Drosophila melanogaster: one gene and its partners. Changing the gene in region 3 together with the main gene of any one other region gives a genetic interaction. Each region holds a gene or a part of one and is shown on either strand. Other genes may lie near its edges. The genes, in order: SelR, Ras64B, PlexA and Gyc76C.

The links.
Region 1: of PlexA (region 3) and SelR, changing one suppresses a phenotype caused by changing the other (phenotypic suppression), as found in Drosophila melanogaster (one study listed by BioGRID).
Region 2: of PlexA (region 3) and Ras64B, changing one suppresses a phenotype caused by changing the other (phenotypic suppression), as found in Drosophila melanogaster (one study listed by BioGRID).
Region 4: of PlexA (region 3) and Gyc76C, changing one suppresses a phenotype caused by changing the other (phenotypic suppression), as found in Drosophila melanogaster (one study listed by BioGRID).

Annotation. Positions count from the first base shown.
Region 1 is NT_033777.3:10,862,816-10,869,924, forward strand, and holds SelR (selenoprotein R), read right to left. Parts: upstream 5,476-7,109; 5' UTR 5,227-5,475; coding exon 5,157-5,226; intron 4,162-5,156; coding exon 3,994-4,161; intron 3,879-3,993; coding exon 3,714-3,878; intron 2,833-3,713; coding exon of another isoform or gene 2,636-2,832; exon of another isoform or gene 1,072-2,635; intron 1,044-1,071; coding exon 820-1,043; 3' UTR 540-819; downstream 1-539. Other genes in the region: Tsp86D (tetraspanin 86D), read left to right, coding at 6,218-6,770, 6,828-7,109. UniProt on the Drosophila melanogaster protein: Methionine-sulfoxide reductase that specifically reduces methionine (R)-sulfoxide back to methionine.
Region 2 is NT_037436.4:4,137,237-4,141,898, reverse strand, and holds Ras64B (Ras oncogene at 64B), read right to left. Parts: upstream 2,824-4,662; 5' UTR 2,721-2,823; coding exon 2,640-2,720; intron 1,993-2,639; coding exon 1,905-1,992; intron 1,849-1,904; coding exon 1,439-1,848; 3' UTR 501-1,438; downstream 1-500. Other genes in the region: Akh (adipokinetic hormone), read right to left, coding at 6-176, 245-313; Rop (Ras opposite), read left to right, coding at 3,085-4,662. UniProt on the Drosophila melanogaster protein: May be involved in endocytic processes and/or other transport pathways mediated by vesicle trafficking. May interact functionally with ROP protein. Ras proteins bind GDP/GTP and possess intrinsic GTPase activity.
Region 3 is NC_004353.4:1,024,096-1,028,708, forward strand, and holds the start of PlexA (plexin A), read right to left. Parts: upstream 3,007-4,613; 5' UTR 2,868-3,006; exon of another isoform or gene 2,675-2,867; intron 2,441-2,674; exon of another isoform or gene 2,121-2,440; intron 1-2,120.
Region 4 is NT_037436.4:19,790,551-19,795,219, reverse strand, and holds the start of Gyc76C (guanylyl cyclase at 76C), read left to right. Parts: upstream 1-1,650; 5' UTR 1,651-1,792; intron 1,793-3,609; exon of another isoform or gene 3,610-3,772; intron 3,773-4,178; exon of another isoform or gene 4,179-4,336; intron 4,337-4,669. Other genes in the region: SREBP (sterol regulatory element binding protein), read right to left, coding at 1-310. UniProt on the Drosophila melanogaster protein: Guanylate cyclase involved in the production of the second messenger cGMP.

The DNA of each region.
Region 1 (7,109 bases), on a different chromosome or scaffold from region 3:
TAATCTCTTCGCGACGCGAATCCGAAATTATCACTTCGACGTGCCCGAATTGTATTTACACTGAAATCGCTGTTAGATAATTGCGAATTTACAATGCGGTTTGAAAGTCACAAGCAAACAATCGCATGTGGAACGCACAGGTGGGTGGTCCAGTTTAAAAGTTCTCCAGTCACCCTACACACGTGTCGCACTTCAAAATCAAACGATCGCATACTCGGCCCATTCGCTGTTATCGATTTGTCGCCAGCACATCACTTCGGGCTAATAAACATTTAAATTCACCTTATACGGCGACTGCAATTAAAATCAATTGACTTCCGAGCCATAAATAAATTCGATTTCATGTTGTTGCGTCGCCGGTCGTTACGTCACGTCAACAACAACTGCGGCGCAGCATCTGTTTTGCGCAAACAAGGGAAGGCAACTGACGTAGTTGGCAACGCGGCTCAGCTGTTCCGTTCTCACCTGGTCGGCACTAACAACTACGTTCAAATTAATAGTGACAACTGCAAAAACACAACACATGCAAGCACCGTTTTATTGTAAAAAACACACGTTTATTTAGCGCGCTCACTTTAAAATTAGTACTGTGTTGAATGTGTGGGGTTACAGAGTATTCGGTATTTGGGTTTGTATAAATTAACGAACAAATTTCGAACCAAAACATTAGCTATTTACACAAACAGAGGGGCGATTGACTTGACTACGAGCTAAAATTGGCCACATTTGCGGAAAGTTAGAAAGTACACGTAGAAAAATTTCTTAACAGCAACGACACTCTGAGGCTTGCCTCCTCCGTTTGGCGGTTGATCCTCGGCATCACTGCTGGGCAATGGGCGCCGCGGTGGGCGTGGCCACGGGCGGGGACGAGGTGGCGGGATCCGCGTTCACGAACTCAATGGAGGCGGAATTGATGCAGTAGCGCTTGCGGGTCGGCTTCGGACCATCCTCGAAGACGTGACCCATGTGGGCGTTGCAGCGGGCGCAGCGGACCTCAGTGCGTATACGTTCTGGATGTGCGATTAGTAGTAAAATATTGCCCCCTATTTAGTTTGTATTTTGCCATTTCGTGGGATTAATTGGATACGTTTTGATTGTTGTTTTTTTTTTTTGTTGTGTAGCGCATTTTGTTGACATTTTTTACAATATATTCATTTTTTTGATCGTTTTGCAAGGTTAATTCAAAGTTTTTCGGTGTAAACAAATCAAACAGAAATAGAAAATTGATTGTGAAATGGGTGATAAATGTGAAGCAGAGAAAGAATCACAGAAAAGAGCGAAGAAATAACGGCAAATAAATGGGAGTGCAAATCAGAGAGCGAAGGAGGAGATGCAGCAGAGAGAGAGAGAGAGAGAGCGATAATTAACAATGGGTGGCAGGTGAAACAATATGAAATGAAGTCACATAAACCGGTGAAAATAATTGACGAATCAGGAATATAGATGATTTTCCGAACGATTTGGCGTACATGTTATTTTGGTTAATTAAGCATTTCATGTGTCGTTTTTTCGGGTGTTATAATTTCAGCGATGAGTTAAATGTTTTCGTGTTTTTGGTTAGCAAAACAAACCCCCAAAAAACGTTTACAGGCGTTGTACATTTAGTTTTTTTTTTGTTTTTGAAGCGAGTTAAAAAAAGAGAAATAGAAAATATACGAAAATACACATTATTTGGATTGTTTAAAACACTCTATATAGTTTATGGATATAATGTTGGTTAAAGTATTCGGGTTATGTTATTGAAATCAAAAGAAAATTGAGCGTGAGTAAAAAGCAACAAACTAAAACGTAAATCGAAATCATACAAATAACCAAATACAGCACCGGAAAATAATATTTTAAAATAAAAGCACCACATTCACACAGACATACACATAATGGCCCTGGCCCAAAAATAAATCCAATCGACCTTGTATAATGATCGAAATATGGTATGTGGAAAAAGCTCAATGATCTATGTAGATTCAAAACCGAAATATGTATGAAAATTGCACTTAACCGAAAAGAAAAACATATAAACTAACTAAAGGAACCCTCGTCTTATCCCAAAATAAATGATAACCTTGCGCAAAACTTAACTTCTTGCTAAGCACGTAAGTTCCTACAAAATGGGTTAATTTTTATTAACGTACAATATACATATCCTATAGATACGATGAGAATGCAAGGGGAGATACTTTTGAGAAGTAGAGTTCATCTACACAGTGAGTGAGATTGTAAACCGAAAAGAGTGCATAAACCCAGGCCAGGAACTGTAGACTCGCATTTCCGTTCATAAAACTTTCGTAAACTTTATAAAGTTATAATATAGAGATAGAGATTTGAAACCGAAACATACATAGGGTAAAAGTAGGAAAAGTATATAGCAAATGGAATCTGCTGGGCTGAACTACAATACTAAACTCTCACTCCTCGTTCCGCAATACATTTTCAAACATCGTTCTTGTGTATAAGCTATGTTTTTTTTTGTTCGTTAAACAGTTTTGCATAATAAACGCCTATAAAATAGCTAAATATCTTTCTTTGCTGGACCTGCAGCCCTCTATAGACCCGGAGTAGCATCTACCGCTGGTCTATATGGGGCTACTCCTCCGGGTGTAATGGTATTCCTTGTGGTTAGCAGGCAGATCGGTCATTATTTCTTGGACGAGGCCGTCGATGGATCCGCCTTCGATGGCGTCGCACTCTTCACGAAATCGATGGACGCGGAATTGATGCAGAAGCGTCGATGCTTGGGCGGCGGTCCATCATCGAAGACGTGGCCCATATGGGCGGAGCATCGGGAGCAGCGCACCTCGGTGCGCACCATGCCTAGCGTTTTCGAAATGACTACTGTTGGTTTAATCGGTTTACAAGTGATACTCGTGGGTGATATTCGGGTGGAATCGATATGGCATTAGTTGTATTTCATGTGGTTTTTTTTTAGAAAGAAAGAAATGTTGAGAAAGTCAGGCGGGATAGAAGAGTGGGATAAGAGAACACAATACTCGGTTAGGAATCAATTTTAGTCGCTTCTTCTCGCTTTGTTGCACATTCAGGTGCTGCAACGGCAGCAGGAACACTCACTAGTCACAAATCACCGGCACAAGACTAAACACAGTAACACAACAATGGCAAGGCCAACGGCACAACTACAGTGAACTCTGGGCAGTGGAACAGTTTTGGGGTCGGGTTCAAGATCAGATTTTAAACACGAAACAAAGCAACAAACAAGGCAACACAAACAGCACAGACTTTAAATGAATAATATTAGCTAATGGGTTTATAAGGTTTAATTAAGCCATTAACTAATAAGCCTCTTCTTATAAACATCTCACTTTATGATTTTATTTCTTTACAATGACTTATGCACACCATTTTCTTTAGAAATGGAAAACAATCAAGCTGAAGGTCATACCAAAATATGAAATATACATATGTATATGTTTATATGCTTATATAACTCTACAATTAATCGTTATCAAGGCTTCTTTATAAACTTGGTAATCTTATGATTGCTCTTATTCACACATGACAACTAGGCGAATAATTACTCTAGTCTGGGTTATATTGTCTCCTAGGTGGATAAACGCAAATGAAATTCTCAACTCTTGGGTGCGGCAACGGAACAGCAACTCAAATAAAAACATAACTCAAAACGCTTTGCAATAATCAACAGCTAAAAGTGCCGAGCAAGGTCTTGGCCAAAAGTGGGCCGCCTGGCCAATACGCACCTGGTATGCTGGCATCGCGGTGCAGCGTGACCTTGCCCTTGTCTAGGACATCGTTGAAGGCCGGCCATCCGCATCCCGAGTCGTACTTGGTCTCCGAGCTGAACAGATCCTGGTGGCACACGATGCACTGGTACACGCCCTTCTCGTAGTGTTTGTTGTAGCAACCTGTGGACATTGCATTCCATCATTTGGGAATCAGAATTGAATGCACTTTGTTCGAGGGGTGGCGTTCCATCTTGATAATGGCTTATGGCTGCATGTTTTGTTAGGAGAGACTCACCTGTGAAGGGTCGCTCGGTGCCCGCCTCCTGGGTAACCTGATACTGCACCGGGGTCAGGCGCTTGCGCAGCTCCTCCTTGTTCACCGTAACCTTCTCGCTCTTGTTATCCATAGTCGCTGCTGGTCCGGAATACCTTTTGTCCGGATTGTCGCTGTCTTGGCGTGAATCTGGAATGCAATACAATACTTTGGTATTTGATTTGCGGTCGGGTCGGTTTGAGTGTGCTTTTCGGTTCGCCAGCAGTTGGGTAATGGAAACTGAGTAGGGGATTTCGTCAAGCTTCTGTAAGATTTCCCTCATAATCTGCCCACTTATCGGTGGGACTTTCAACGAAACCTTGGGCAATCTCAACTCGCTTATTTGAATGCGGCCATCTGACGATAAGAAGCTTACTACTATCAGCCATGAGTTGCTGAAAATACTTTCTCGAAACTCATAATCATCTTGTTTTCTCATACAAACGATACCATACCATTTATGAAAATGAATTATATGAAGAAAATTTTTGGCATTTTTGGAACCCAATTTGATAAGGAAATATATACATAAATATTCTTATTCCAATATTAAACAAAAGCTATATATAGCGTACAAAATATAGAAAATACTTATCATTTTCTTAAACAATTTGTTAACAATCTTGAAAACTCAAAATCAAAGTTGTGCATCCAGGGAATTAGTAACACCAATTTTGTATACAAACTTGCCTGCTAATTAATGAAGGTGTAAACAGATTTGTTAAGTGCGGCCAACAAATGGAGTGGAGAAACGCATTGGGCCAAAAATAGTTTTATGGCTTTTTATGCTGCTTGCCCGCCGTCAATCAAACGGAGTGGCGCCCAAAGCAAACGAAGGCGAAGGAAAAGCCGAAAAAAAAACCGAAAATCGAATAGCGTAGGTGGAGCAGTCACCTTTTATTTTCGGTTTTTCCGAGTGCAACAATAGAAAAGCCAGCCAAGTGTGTCGCGGGCAATTGAAGACAATGAATTCATTGCGAGCAAAGTCAGAAAATAGCGGCTAAATTGCGTTCATATAGAATGCAAATGTATAAAAAAATCAACTCAAATTGTGTCTAAAATTAGCCGATGGCCAATCGATGAGCATGGGCTGACACGCCCACAGGTATTACAAACTATACCTGCGACTTTTTAGTGCAACTCACCTGCGAAAAAGCGTGGAATGGCGAATATTCGAGTGCGCCGCAGTGCGTGGCGAGCAGAAAGTGCAAACATTATGTGGCTAATTTCAGGTGACAACTGCACTTGGCACTGCCTGGTTATTTAATCAGCACAGCAACAGGGGGAAAATGAGCAGAGCAAGGAGGAAAAGTCAATGTTTTGTCCACTGCGCACTGCCCACGCGTACTAACTAATATTTATGCAATTCGCGTTGCCACTTCCGTCTACCACATTTCCCACATTTTCCGTTCTATTTTCGTGCGCTTTTCTGCTTTTGAACGCTTGGCGAGGAGAAAGCGCAGTGCAGAGAAAGTCGCAACTCAATTAGGGAAAATGCGCTCGCAATTGTGCTTCAATGTCACCAGCGGAGAACCGAAAAGAAAAAACACTTAATTTTCCCACACTTAAATGGTGCGTCCTTGGGTTTTCTCTAAGCTGGAAAACTACTCACCTGCTGAATAGCGCTCTAAATGGTGCTGATTCTATTTTTGGCCTTTTGTTTATGAATGCGCCAAACGCGGGCGAAAACAAGCGTGCGTCGCAATGTTACGCAGCGGTGGAAAATTAAAAACTAATACAAAAAAAGCTGCTTGGGAAAACAGCTGCACGCGATGAAAATCAAACACCTGGCTGGCTCGCGTTGCCAATCGAATGCTGGATGATAGGCAACAAAGGCAGTACGGTCACGCGAACAGCTGACTGGCCGCGCTGCCAACTGCTGCCTAATTGGACAGCACGTCTGGCAACGCCGGGCACTTTGTTATTTTTAGTGGCTCCATAAATTTGCTTATCAGTCATAAAATTTAAGCTAGTGCGTTAATTCATCATATTCGCTGCGGGGAAACACCAGAGTTAGACAGTCCACCACTGACGCACTGCGAAACTATAGCAAAACAGCCGTGCAGGCCGCTGAAGAGACCACACGCAAAGAGGGCGTCAACAAAAAGAAAAAACCGTGGGGGAGGAAACCTGGGCAAAAATACCAGGAAAAGTAATACTCATCGAAATACTCGGCTGAAAACACGACTTGCACATTCGCGTGGCCATGAGCAATCACAGATACCATCAGGGGGGCAACTACATGCACCCGCGGATCTCCACCTATCCGCACCACTTCAGCTACGTTTCCTCTTGCGTCAAGTACATGATCTTCCTGCTAAACTTCCTCTTCTGGCTCTTCGGCGGCCTGCTCCTGGCCATCGGCGTGTACGCCTTCATGGACAAACTGATGGACGGCAATGGCTGGCTGCGCTTGGACACCATCTACGATGTGATCTTCAACATCTCCCTGGTGATGATCATCGCCGGAGTCATCGTCTTCACGGTCAGCTTCGCCGGCTGTTTGGGTGCGCTGCGCGAGAACACCTGGCTGCTAAAGCTGTACTCCATGTGCCTGCTTCTCTTCTTCATACTGGAGATGTCGCTGGCCATCATCTGCTTCGTTTTCCCGCAGTACATGAACTCGTTCCTCGAGTACCAGTTCACGGACAAAATCATCCACTCGTACCGTGACGACTCCGACTTGCAAAACTTCATCGACTTTGCCCAGCAGGAGTTTAACTGCTGCGGCCTGAGCAACGCCGGCTACCAGGATTGGAGTGAGTATTTGATTCATAAGCCACAAACGAATTAATTCCATGTCCGTATGCATACAGGCAAGAACGAGTACTTCAACTGCTCATCGCCGTCGGTGGAGAGATGTGGAGTGCCCTACAGCTGCTGTATTAATGCCACCGATATCAGCTCCGGCCTAGTGAACATCATGTGTGGCTATGGCGTGCAGGTGCGTTCAGTGGCCGCCGCCAGCAAGCGCATCTGGACCAGCGGCTGCATCGAGATCGTGCGAGTATGGGTCGAGAGGAATCTGTATGTGATTGCCGGCGTTGCCCTGGGCATAGCCTTGCTGCAGTTGTTCGTCATCTATTTGGCCAAGACCC
Region 2 (4,662 bases), on a different chromosome or scaffold from region 3:
GCTATCTACTCGCGGTGCTTGCAGTCCAGAAAGAGCTGTGCCTGAGATTGCACGAAGCGGAAGATCTCGAGCAGCATTTCGTTGGAGGTCTTGCAGTTGCCCTGCTGTGTCTCGAAAAAGGTTCCAGGACCAGCTCCGCCCACCGAACGCTTGCCCCAATCCGGCGAGAAGGTCAACTATATAGAGGAAAATAAAATGAGACATCAGAAAGGGATATCCTGCAGCGGGATATGAATTCACTCACTTGACACTGGACGCAGGCCAGCAGCATGAAGAGCACGGCTGCAATGAGGACTTCGCTCTTGGGATTCATTCTGAGTTCTATGCTGGTCCACTTCGATTCAGCCCGCTTTTATACCCATTGAGCTCGAAGGGAAGACAGCTGGTAAGTAATTAACACAGCACTAGCAAGGATTCTTTCTATAATTGCTTGGATTGGGTCGGAATTTTCAATTCCAGTCGAGAGCGTCATTGAAACAATCTTCTATGTGGAAGCGTTTGTGATTCTCCATGTGTTTATTAGAATTGCGCATATGTTTAATTTTAAATTTAATTATATATTTATTTATATACCATTAAATAAGTTCGTTAAATTAAGCAGTGTATAAGAGTTAAAACAAGATTGCGGCTAAAGCAACTGTTGCAATACATTTGGCGAACAATAAACCATAGGATCCGGATCCGACTGGGGACATGTACAAAAGTATCGTTAAGTGAGTTGTGCGCGCCTGGCAGCTGCGGGTATAGTACAAAAATGCCGTGGGTGTAATACAGAGTTTGATGTTTTAGATTTCTACGCGCGAGAACGAGGCACTCAATTTGTTACAACAAAATCGGTTTGTAAGCAGTTAATATATGTATACGTATATATTAGTAGTAAATAACAATACAAATTACAATAACACATTATTACGTTTTGGCTTAATCGAAACAAACGTTCTGGGCTTAGTTATTGCATTATAAAAACAAATGGCCTGCGAGCCACGATTGGTAATAATCATGAAAACATTCGTCCTTAATTGTTGTCGTTGATCAACAAAATAATATTACAAAAATATATGTAGAAATATATATGTATATATAAGTTATTCGTGTGAATCTGTTGTATATATCTACCTATGTTTCGTGTTTCTGTTTGCATTTTGCATTGTTAGTTGTCAGTTGTAAGATTCTTCGTAGCTATTTGAGAGTGGCGAAGTTTATTCGATTCGTTCGTTGAATGCGCCATGCACCTGGGCAGGTAAGAAATGCACTTCGTTTGGGCTCGTTGACACGTTTTGTGCGGTTACTGGTTTCGGGTTACTGGTTTATCGTCTTCTCAACGGAATTCAAAGCTCAGTCGACGCGTGTTTTTCAAAAAATTTGGTGTTATAATCATTATATGTTGGCTCCTGCTTCCGCTGCGGCATTCAGGAGATTCTCTTCCATTTAGTTCCTTCTACATCAGGCAGCACTTCCTCTTGCCCTTCTTCTTGTAATCCTGCTCGATGAAGGGACGCTCGGCGATCTGGAACTTGCGCACGATCCTCACGAGCTCGTGGAAGGCCTGATCGACGTTGACCCTCAGTTTGGCACTGCACTCGATGTAGGGGATCATCAGGTTGCGGCTGGTGTTCTGCGCCTCCTCCAGGGACACCTGCTGCTGGTGCTTCAGGTCGCACTTGTTACCCACCATCAGCATGGGGAACTCGTCGCGATCCTTGACGCGCAGTATCTGGCGCTGGAACTTGGGGATCTCATCGAAGCTGGAATGATCGTTGAGCGCGAAGACGAGCAGGAATCCCTCGCCGGAGCGCATGTACTGCTCCCGCATGGCACTGAACTCCTCCTGGCCAGCCGTGTCCAAAACTAGGTAAAATATCAGGTTATTATGAATCTGGTAAGGGTAAAGAAAGGAAGCTTACTGTCCAATTTGGCTGGCACATCGTCGATGTTGCACTGCTTCGTGTACGAGTCTTCAATGGTGGGATCGTAGTCCGTGACGAAGTAGCTCTGCAAGATTAGGATTAAAATTATTGTACCGCCAGCTGCCGAGGCCACAAAACTACATATATAAACATTATAAGACTGGGTTTTTTATGTGGGCGGGGTGCGTTTATCATTCCGCCTTTGATTTGTTTACACACGTCACTTTTATCATTCACTATCCACTATGCTCTATATATCTTGGGGAAAAGCTACAGCATATACACGAAAGATGTGCAGATGACGCAAATGACTAAAAATAAATGGAAGCGGGCGGTCATTGTGGTCGTGACCATGGCACAAACTCTCGGGGAATCGATCGGCACACCCAGAAAACTGGGGGCTGCGTCTAACGCAACTCCCTGGTTCTGGGCTCTGACCACTTGATCCCCAATTGGAGATACACACGGGGGTGTGGCCACCGCGATGATGATGCTGCCAATGATGATGATGATGATGATTGTGTTGGTGATGATCTCGGCCCGAAACTATGCACACGCATGTCCAAACACAGACGCACATCACAGTCGCTTGTTGCTTGTTTGTTGCTCTGGCCAAAACAAGGGCCGTCCCCCTGCCACCGCCCCTGTGCGCCATCGCCCCCCACTCCCACATTCAAACGCCCCTGTGGAAAGCGACGTCACCAGGGATTGGGCCGATGCTGGGCGGCTTACCTGGATGAACTGTATCGTTATCGCTGACTTGCCCACGCCGCCGCCGCCGACGACCACCAGTTTGTACGTTTGCATCTGCATTTCCCCGTTTAAATCGACCAGTTGGCCAGCAAAATTATTTTATTTTCCTTCCTCGACAGCAGCAGCGTGACCGTTCTCGGTTAACTGAGAAATCCACACTCGCACTGAGACGGGTGCGCGTCTCTGCTAGACAGTAATATCGATATCAACTATCGCTAGCCAGCAATCGACTTTCGCCCATCACTAAGGCTAAGTCATCAAACGAAAAAAATACAGAAAAATTGGCCAAGGAATAGATAAAATTCTTTAAGTCAAGTTAGCCCACGCGAAAAAGCGAACGGAATAAGCTAAAAAGACATATTTACACGCAGTGTGTTCATAATCGAGTTGCCTTTGCGCCCGTGACCAATAAAACGCAGTGAAAATGGCCTTGAAAGTGCTGGTGGGCCAAAAGCTGATGAACGAGGTGGTGAAGTACAAGCCTCCACCACCCAAAAAGCAGGGCGTTACGTCCGCTGCGGGGGCGGGCGGCATGGAATGGCGGGTGCTGGTGGTGGACAAGCTGGGTATGCGCATGGTGTCCGCCTGCACCAAGATGCACGAAATCAGCGCCGAGGGCATCACCCTGGTTGAGGACATCAACAAGAAGCGCGAGCCGCTGCCCACGATGGACGCGATCTATCTGATTACGCCGTCGGATGAGTCAGTGCGCGGTCTGATACGAGACTTCGAGAACCCAGCGCGGCCCATGTATCGCTATGCCCATGTCTTCTTCACCGAAGTTTGTCCCGAGGAGCTATTCAACGATCTGTGCAAGTCGTGCGCGGCCGGAAAGATCAAGACGCTGAAGGAGATCAACATTGCATTTTTGCCATACGAATGCCAGGTGTTCTCGCTGGACTCGCCGGACACATTCCAATGCCTCTACTCGCCGGCCTTTGCCTCCATTCGGAGCAAGCACATCGAGCGAATTGCCGAGCAAATAGCCACACTGTGCGCTACCCTTGGGGAGTACCCAAATGTGCGCTACCGCAGCGACTGGGACAGGAACATCGATTTGGCCGCGTCGGTGCAGCAGAAGCTGGACGCCTACAAGGCCGACGATGCCACCATGGGCGAGGGCCCCGAGAAGGCACGATCCCAGCTGCTGATCCTGGATCGCGGCTTCGACTGCGTGTCGCCGCTGCTGCACGAGCTCACCCTGCAGGCCATGGCCTACGATTTGCTACCCATCGTCAATGACGTGTATCGCTACACGCCCGGCCCCAACCAGCCGGATAAGGAGGTGCTGCTCGACGAGAACGACGACTTGTGGGTGGAGCTGCGTCACGAGCATATCGCTGTGGTCTCCACCCAGGTGACTCAGAACCTTAAGAAATTCACCGACTCTAAGCGCATGGGCTCGGCTGACAAGTCGTCGATGCGCGATCTCTCGCAGATGATCAAGAAGATGCCGCAGTACCAGAAGGAGCTGTCCAAGTACTCCACCCACTTGCATTTGGCCGAGGACTGCATGAAGTCGTACCAGAACTACGTGGACAAGCTGTGCCGCGTGGAACAGGATCTGGCCATGGGCACGGACGCCGAGGGCGAAAAGATCAAGGATCATATGCGCAACATTGTGCCCATCTTGCTGGACGCCAATGTCTCGAACTACGACAAGGTTCGCATCATTGCCCTGTACGTCATGATCAAGAACGGAATTTCCGAGGAGAACCTGACCAAGCTGTTTACGCATGCCCAGCTGTCGCCGAAGGATCAGGATATGGTGCGTAACCTTAGTTGCTTGGGCATCAATGTCATTGCAGATTCGCGCAAGAAGCAGTACTCGGTGCCGCGCAAGGAGCGCACCACAGAAAGCACCTACCAGATGTCCCGCTGGACACCGGTGATCAAGGACATCATGGAGGATTGCATAGAGGATAAGCTCGATCTCCGCCACTTCCCCTTCCTCGAGGGCAGGGCCCAAAATACCAATTATCATGCCCCAACCAGTGCCCGC
Region 3 (4,613 bases):
CGGTGTGGGTCCCATACATATGATTAATGGTATGTAAATATACCTAGTGATGTTTTACTGCCATATGCTGAATGGAATATGCCCTTATAATGGACATTCCAATAGGATAATGATCCGAAACGCAGAAGCAAATCGGCTAAGAATAAGTTCACCCAAAATAGAATAGATGCAATGCCGTGGCAAGCACCATCATCCGATTTAAACCCGATTGAAAACCTGTGGGGGGACATTAAACAATACGTGTCGAAGAATTCCCCGATGTCCAAGATTCAGCTTTGGCAAGTTGTGCAGGATGCATGGGCAAAAATTCCCCCAAACGTCCTCGTGGACTCCATGCCGAGTAGGTGTAAGGCTGTGCTGGCTAAAAAAGGCAATCCAACCAGGTATTAGTCCCTAATTAACACATTAAAAAAAAACTATGTTAGTTCTAAGTCATGTTGTTACTATTTTTTCATATCACTGCTATTTCAGTGAACACCAGAATTTCTGCCTATTATGTTGTTTTAATCTATATCTATTGAAAAAATAAAAGTGAAACATATGTTGAATTGTTTGATATAATAATAAAATTATGAAAAAAATTCCCATTACAACTTTAAATCATATGATTTTTTATCCTAAACTCGCAAGTCCCAAGCACTGCTATTTTTATGAACACAGCTGTATATATCAGCTAAAAGGTTGAGATTCAGCATACAGATTCTAAAGACAAATACGGAGCGAAAGTTTGTTAACCTATGTTGCCACGCCCACTCTAACGCCCTAAAACCGCGCAAAACTGCCACGCTCACATTTTAAAACAAATTTTAAATTTTTTCTCATTTTATTCCTTAATATTGATATCCCAGAAAAATAAAGCAATTTCGCGTTCGCATTCACACTAGCTGAGTTACGGGTATCTGAGTCGGGGAACTCGACTATAGTATTCTTTCGAATTCTATTTGTGTGGATCACCAAACATTGAAATGCTGTTACATATAGATTATAAATGTATTTCGTGAACACCCAATAAATCGTAATTTTGAAAATCTTCACAGCCAAAAAAACTCAGTTTAAAAATTTAATCACGTCAAAACAAAAACTGTGGGTTGGCTGTAAGTGTACTTCCCTGAAACATGGGTAGTTTATCGCATAGTTTAAAATGATGTCGTACAAATAGTTTTGAAACTACAGTTAAGGTTAAAATAATAGCACTACTGCAGGTGGAAAATTGATATCCTAAAAAAAATTATAAATTTTTTTTTTTTTAAGCCAGATTGCATGAATAATAAGTACCATATGTTGCCTCTTTGAGCAATAAATTTTTAGTCTCTCAATTTAACGGTTCTTTTTGTTTTTGGGCACTTGCTGCAAAAGTGCGCGAAATGAGGCGGTAACAAAAATAGCACTGAAAACGTATTTGCTGAATAAAATTAATGGGAGTGATTGCTTTGGTTTTTTTTACGACAAATTTTGAAAAAAAGGTGTTGCATTAAAGGTTTTAATTGAATTTGCTCCAAACGAAGACCAAAAATTCTCTAGTCATGGGTCACGGAAAGCATTGTACCGTCGAAAAAAGAAATTTGATTAAAAACGTGATCTCTGAAGGTAAAACCTACGCTGAAATTGGTCGCATTGTCGGTTGTTCAAACAAAATGATCCGCAAATCACTGCTGTTTGTCGAAAAGAACGAAACGCGGCGAGGAAAGCCTTCAATGTCCAACTTGGATGCTCTCCAAGCATCCAAGCGCTTGGTTCGGCAAAGCAAGAACCCGGTGACGGAACTGAAGATGGAGCTTCAGATATACTGGCTCAACTCCTTAATATGAAAATCTCACCCAAAGCATAATTCATGAACCAACGTGCTCTACCATTTACTGTCTCCGAATAGGACTATAACCGACCAAAATATATTCCGCTACTGCCGCTAATATGTTGACCGCAACTGTACATATATATTAAACATGAATCCATATCATGCTATAAATATTAATGGAATGGAAATCCCAAGCTAAGGAGTTTCCTATGTATGCTATATAAGCATATCTCGTTTTTGCAATAAAAAATTTCCTCTACCTAACACATTAATTGTAAAACTTTGAACAAATTCAGTTCCAAACGTTCAATTTTTTTCCACTTACATATATTCGCACTCAGGCCACTTATTCCAAGCCATTTCGTTATAGAGAATTTATGTAGTTTTAAAGTATATTCACGGCTATTCCAGGATTTCAAATTTGGGCGAGCGTGCACAATATTTGGTAATTTCATTGCAAATGCATATATGCATACTGCACATACATACATACAAATTTGGCCAGCGCCCGAATTTAAATACATATAATAAACCGGTAAAATGTAAGTGCACTTAGTTTAAATGTTTTTAGGCAAAGATTATTGAGAGAAGTAAAACTCGATCTTTTGCATTTGGAATTTTTGGGATATTCTGGTGCACACACATCTATACAAAATGTATATATTTATATGCATACACATGCACATCATATACAGCAAATTTTATTTTGCTGCTATCTTTCCCAATGCATGATGCATTTAATTTCGTATGTGTGAAACGCAGCTAACAATGTATTTAAATAAGAGCCACACTTTTTAAAAATACTATTTACATAAATATAATATATACTTAAGTACATAAAACAAAATGATTGCATGGCCGTTTTTAATTTTTACATACATACAACGTTGTATACCAGTTAAAGAAAATTTGTATTTTCTTAATAATTCTAAAGCAATGCAATATACACTGGAACGTTAAATGATTTTATTACACTTTTTTTAATATTTAGCAAAAAATGACAATTTTGTATGTATATCTGAATTATGGAACGGCGATAGTTTTCTAGTGAACAATCGGAAATCCGGCTTACTGTTTGTTTTCCTATATTTCACTCATTAACTATTATTTCTTTACATCGCAAGTCACTGAACATAATTTCTGTCTATTTTCGAATTACACCACACTTTAATTTACACATCATTGTATGTAAATGTTATCGATACTATAAGGCAGAGGAGAGAATTAAACAACTAGTTGTTAGTCCTAAGACCCGTTCATACCTATCACTATCGATACCTAAATTAACCGATGGCACACTTCAAAATGTAATGTTCACGAGTACATGGAAAATGTCTTGTTGTTACTGTGTAATGACTCGTACGAAAGTAATTTGGAAGGGGTTTGATTCCCAAGCCAGATAATATTTATTATCTCTCTAATTTCCTTGAGCATTATTAAAAAATGAAATAAATATATTTAATATATTCGTTTTCTTTAATATCGATAGTGTGATGAGACTATAAAGGTCTGTTCACAATGAAAATGTAAATTGAAAAATTGGACTTAAGAATTTCATGCTAACAGCTCCTCAATCCACAGCAAATATGTGCGCAAACTGTATCAAAGCATAATTTTGTTATTTAAAATTTCATGGCACAACTTTTTTTTGTTGGCCTTTGTGCACATTTTATGACCTATTGAAATATCTTCAACTGACACCGACTGCAGATGTGCATATTTACACATCTGATTTAAAGCATTGTTGTTATGACCATGTAGTTAGAGACTTAGTTAGTTAGTAAGAAAAAAAAATAATCAATAATTTCACTGTTTTGAGGGCTGATTAGCAATAGAGATTTTTTCTAAGAAATGACATATAGATAAAAGTTAAATGAATTGAATTGCAGGGTGTTTATTTGCACATGTACACATGAAGTGTATTCCACTATTGGCTGCTTACATTCTCAGCTTCGTGCGTGCGCAGTTTGCGGTATTTTTGGCGCTACTAAGGTAAATTCTATCCATAAATCGTCTATCTCACGTTAAACAACAGGATATCAACAACTTGTGGGAAACTGTCAGAAGATACCGTTGACGCACTTTTCAAAAGTTTATTCCCCTAAATCGTAAAATAGAAATGTAGAAAGGAACAAACTTATGGAGAATTGATATTTTCGGAACTATGAACTCTAGAGAGCTCAGAGCATGTAGATTCAAGTGACGCCACATTTTTCAAGATTGTTGCAGAACGTTTGTTGTTTAACCCTACCTCCCACAATCTGCCTTAAAATGTCAGAAATAAAAGGTTTACCCGTTATTCAGATAGTGGGAACAGTGGGCGTGGCTAAAATACGTTTGGCAAATCGATAGAAACAGCCAAGAGAATTTATAAAATAAAATCGAAAAATAATTCTTAAGAGTGGGCATAACAGTTTGGGTGTGGCAAAATTTTTGTGGTATGTCAATATCATGACAGATAATTAAATGAAAACAAAATAACAACACAACGCCCACAGAAATTGTGGGCGTTAGATTGGGCGTGACGTCGTTATGATACAATCTTGCTTATCCAATTCAAATTTAAATGATCGAGTAAATATTTTGAGAAGCACATGCCCAACCGACTAATAACGGAGGGAAATAAGATTTCAAGCAAAATTTTTTGAAGTGCTTTGTAGGATTAAAACTCGAGTGCCTATAATACATGTATACTATAAATTCCATTCTATATGTACAGCCTTTCCGCCGAATACCCCTAAAAAAACGACAACCAAATCCAGTCCGAAGTCACATGTCGAGATAAGGATAATAATGTATTTGTTAAATTTGATACACA
Region 4 (4,669 bases), on a different chromosome or scaffold from region 3:
ACTGTTGTTGCTGCTGATGCAGTTCCTCCTTGATGTGCACTGGCGAAGAGTGCTCGCTTTTCACGTGCGGCTGTTGCTCGACGGATTGCGGCTGCTGATCCACGGACTGCGTCTGCTGGGTATGCGTTCGAGGCTCGTCCAGCAGCATGTTGTACATCTGCGTCGGCGCCAGGTCCATGTCGTTGAGGATGATGTCCAGCATGTCCGAGTGCAGGTCGGCGTCGAACGGTTCGAAGACATCCTCCGCTTTGAACAAATCCATGGACTCGTCCAGCGGAGCGTCTATTAAGTTCATCAGTGTCGTGTCCATTGCGAATGCTGCTGATGAAAGGGACAAAAACGGTTCGTAATTAAATACTGGCGGGCCCACGTATGTGCATATTTATGTATGTATGTTTGTACATTTGAGGATTGTTTATTAAAGTTCTATGCGGCGCAATAACAACAGTGGGACAAGTATGTTGGTGCCGGAAAAAACAAATATTAATATGTTTATAATCACATTAATTCATTTAATTACCCTTTTTCCACAGTGGCCACTTGCAGCTTTAATAACAGATTAAAAGGGGTTTTTATAATTAAATTTGTAATATACGTAACAAAGTTAAAATAAATCTTTTAATTGTACTCAAACCTAAAGTGAATCACAGTCGGACCTGAAAATGGCATATGTGTTAACTTGTTTTTGTTTGTTTGTTGTTTGCTCGTAGTTAAAATAGGAACAAAATATAATATCTTGAGATCATTTTGGCTATATCAAGTTTTGCTAGACTAATGCAAATTGCAATAGAGGCGAATATTTTTAAACGGTCTAAGCTTTTACTTCGCTTTTGGCCCACTGTGCACTGCACACACACATACGCGACCGGGAAAGCATGCGTAAGCGCTTTCAACCAATCAGAGGGCTCGACCGGATCATACGATGTTTTTAGTGACGCCACTTGGCCTTTGGGAGCTCCAACAGGGCATTTTCCCAGGCTCCACTGGTTTCCCGATCTGATTTCCGCGAAAATTAATCTATTAGACACTATCTACATTATTAGCAGAAAAAGAAACGCACCTTTACCACCTTCTATCTGTTTTCTTAGTTCACGTGTGCTTTTGTTTTTCCATAACTGGTTAATGTCAACGCACTTTGCTTTAAACTAGCGACTAGTTAGTAATAGTTGCAACACTTGTTGTTCATGGTTGTTTTGATTTTTTTCACGAGTATATTTGCAGCTTAATAAACAATTGCTTTCGATTGCAGTAAACTTTGTTCTTCAGGGATGACGAGCAGTAGTTCGGGCCTAAGGAACTGGTTCAGGTCTTGACTCCCTGGCATCAAGAAACAGCTGTATTACTTACAATGCCTGTATAGAAATATATATATTTAATAGTTTATGATGTATTTTATAAAACTGCCATAAAATATCAACGCTGATTCTGACACGCAGAGTAAGGAAATAAATTCAACATGTATAAGTGTAATTTAAAATATGCGGTTGTCCTCGCTGAGCGTGGTGGATGTCACCGCTACCTACATTCAAGAGAATAATTAAGAGAGCGCCAGAGCCGTGTGACCGCGCTAGAATTACTTAAAAATACCAAGGAATGTTGAAGACAAAAAGTTCCGGTAAATTGGCACAACGCACTGGCCACACTGCTACATCACATATTCAAAATCGGGTAGGTAGTCGCGACGGAAAACGGGAAACGCGGACGAATCGCGGAGCCAGAGAAGCGGTAAATTCGAAATAACCGTTTGGAAAGAGCAACATGATGAGGTTCTTTATTCGTTTTTAGTAAAATGGTACAAAGTGAATATGTGATTTAATTGATAACCAGCATGGGCGCCGTCAGTGTTAATTGCGTTCTGAATTGCTCTTTCGAAAACGCAGACACAAATGCACACACACAAAGTAGCGGCACCCACACGATCGCAATGGCAAAAGTGCTGCAGTGATAAAACAAATGCACAGCCATAAAGGCAAAGTCGGAAAAGTTTCACAATGCACTGGCGGCCCATGCATAAAAATGTACAATTTGGCGCTCTTTGCACTTGTCACGTCGTTGGAAAAGCAAAAAAACCTACCAACCAACAACAATAGGAACATAAACTGAAACAAAAAGAAAACCATTTTTGCTTCGCGCTTTTGTTTTTGTTTGGACCGCCGCTCACGCACTTTCGCGCTCACACGCAGAAACTTTTTGCATTTGTTTTCTTCACCCGTTGCATTATCACAACAACTGATCTCCTCTGCCCTCTCTCTGATGCTCTTGCTCACACTTGTTCGCTCTGTCTCGCCAGGGTTGCCATTTTCGACCGACAAACTTGCACTTGCTACTATGAATAACCTTTAAAACGGTTTTATTTTGGCACAATCTTAGGATTTATTTACGATTTTTGCGATTTACCGCATTTGCTGTCTGCAACAGTTTACATTTTTGTTTACCTTTACGGTCGCCAATTGGAAATACTAACTGCAAATTTGGTTGCCTTAAGTGTAGGTGTATTGTTTTCAATATAGACGAAGCTTATTTATATCAAATGCCTATTATTTAAATTAAACTGAAAACATTCAACCAACGGTCATCAGGAAAAGTATCTTAAGAGGACTATTTCACTACTAAATCCTATTTTTTATATTTCTACTTCACCTTAGCTTATCAAAATCTTTATAAATCCGATTGTATGTATGATGCAGCATAATTTTATTATTCTCGGTAATATATGGATATGCTTCAAATCCAAATATACAGACTTTATTTATTCAATAAATTAGTTTAACCTAATGTTAAACTAAATATAAAATAACTAAAATTAGTTTAACCTAATGTTAAACTAAATATATTACCGAACGCTGTGATTATGACTCTGTTATTTACCAACTGTCTTGCAACTTGGAAATATTCCTGTATTAATCATTTCCTATTTTCCTTGATACAAAAGAGCCTTTATTTCACTGCAATATTGAGTCATCCAACAAGCTGTTGTTGTAGATTTGGTCCGATTTTTCTATTTCTTCTTCTGACTGTTCTCATACTCTCTGTGCTTCTGTTTCTCCGGCTTTCTGCATAAATTACATTTTCCGTTTGGACTTTGCCAGTTTTGCTAGTGTTAGCACCTCCTTGGCGAAAAGTTTCCAACGGAAATTGTCAGCAGAAAATGAAAAACTCCCATGTAAATACTCCGCAAACGCACACACGCACGAGCTCAGCGGAATACACACCAATACACACGCACACACTAGCAGCGGCAGCGCTTAATAAAGATTAACGCATTTCTTATCAAGCGGTGATAGCGGGCAAAGAAGATGGAGAGAGCCGAAGCGAGACAGAGCACTAGCACTGCGACAGCATTTGAGCTTCGCTTTTCGCACACCCGATAGAGCGGCATAGAGTGGGAAAGGGATGGAGACAGAAGGAGACAGTGATATCTTTTCTCTGCCTGATTAGCAGTAGCAGCGTCTAGTTTTTCTCGTGTTATTTATTTGTTTTCTGCTCTCCGCCGCCGCTCCCGTTGCCTCTCCCTCACAGCAGCCGCCTTCGAACGCCGACGCTGCCTGCTTTATTTTCGCGCCGCTGCTGATAAAATAAAGAACAATATTAATTTAAGTTTAAAAATAGAATTCGCTGCAGATGCCCATTGCATGAATGTGTGCGAGCGGGAGAACGAGAGAACTGATTTCGCTCTCCCGCTCTCTTACAGCACACACATGTTGATCCGCAGCGGCAGCGTCAATTACTGTTCTCATATCATCTCCGAGAGCACGGAAATCAGTGATGGCAAGTGAGAGGAGCAAATCTTTGGCGGATAGCAAAAACCGCTAAGTGTGTGGCAGTCAACGCTACTTTTCTTAGTATAGTACTTAGTTATACCTTTTATCGTGCAATTTTTAAATGAGGACTATGTTTTTCCAAAATGTATCTGCTCAATATAATTTGACTATTTATCTTTTAATCCATTTAAACCTAGTTTTAAAAATTTTAAAAAAGTGTTGATAATATATCTTGATGGATATCTTTCGGATATCCTACACTGAGCGAAACTAAAATTGTTTGATAAAGCGTCCTCATATGCCTACCTTAACACAGTGAAAAAAGCCAAAGTGCCATCTCTGGGAGCATGCGGTGTCGCTCGCCCGATTTTCGTTTGGGGCTTTCAGTATTATTCTATTCTCCTGCGCCCCAAGTTGTTTTTTCGGATCGGCAAAGCCGCGTGCGCCCCATCGCACTCTCGCACACACACATACGCACTCACAGAAAAAGATATTATGCATACATATGTATGTTTAATATATATATTTCTCTGATTGGATTGGGGCAAAAACAAAACCCAAAGAGTGCGAAAAAGGTGAAAAAAGTAAAAAGCCGAATAGAATTTCGAATAAAATCCAGTGCGGTTTGTGTTAATAATTATTATTGAATGAAAAACAAATTCCGACAAATGTGTTAACAAGAGTGTTCGCAGCCGCAGCGCCATAAATTTTACAACAATACGGGGAAAAAATCGAAAAAATAACGAAAACTGGAATTTGTGATAATTGTTTTTCGGGCCAGTCAGCGAGAGGGAGAGCAGTGCAAAGATAACAGATTTGTTTTGTTTCCCTGATAAGCCACTCTACTGATACAGCGGTGTAATTTTGGACACTCGAACCTTGTCATATTAACTTGCTTATTTGACTAT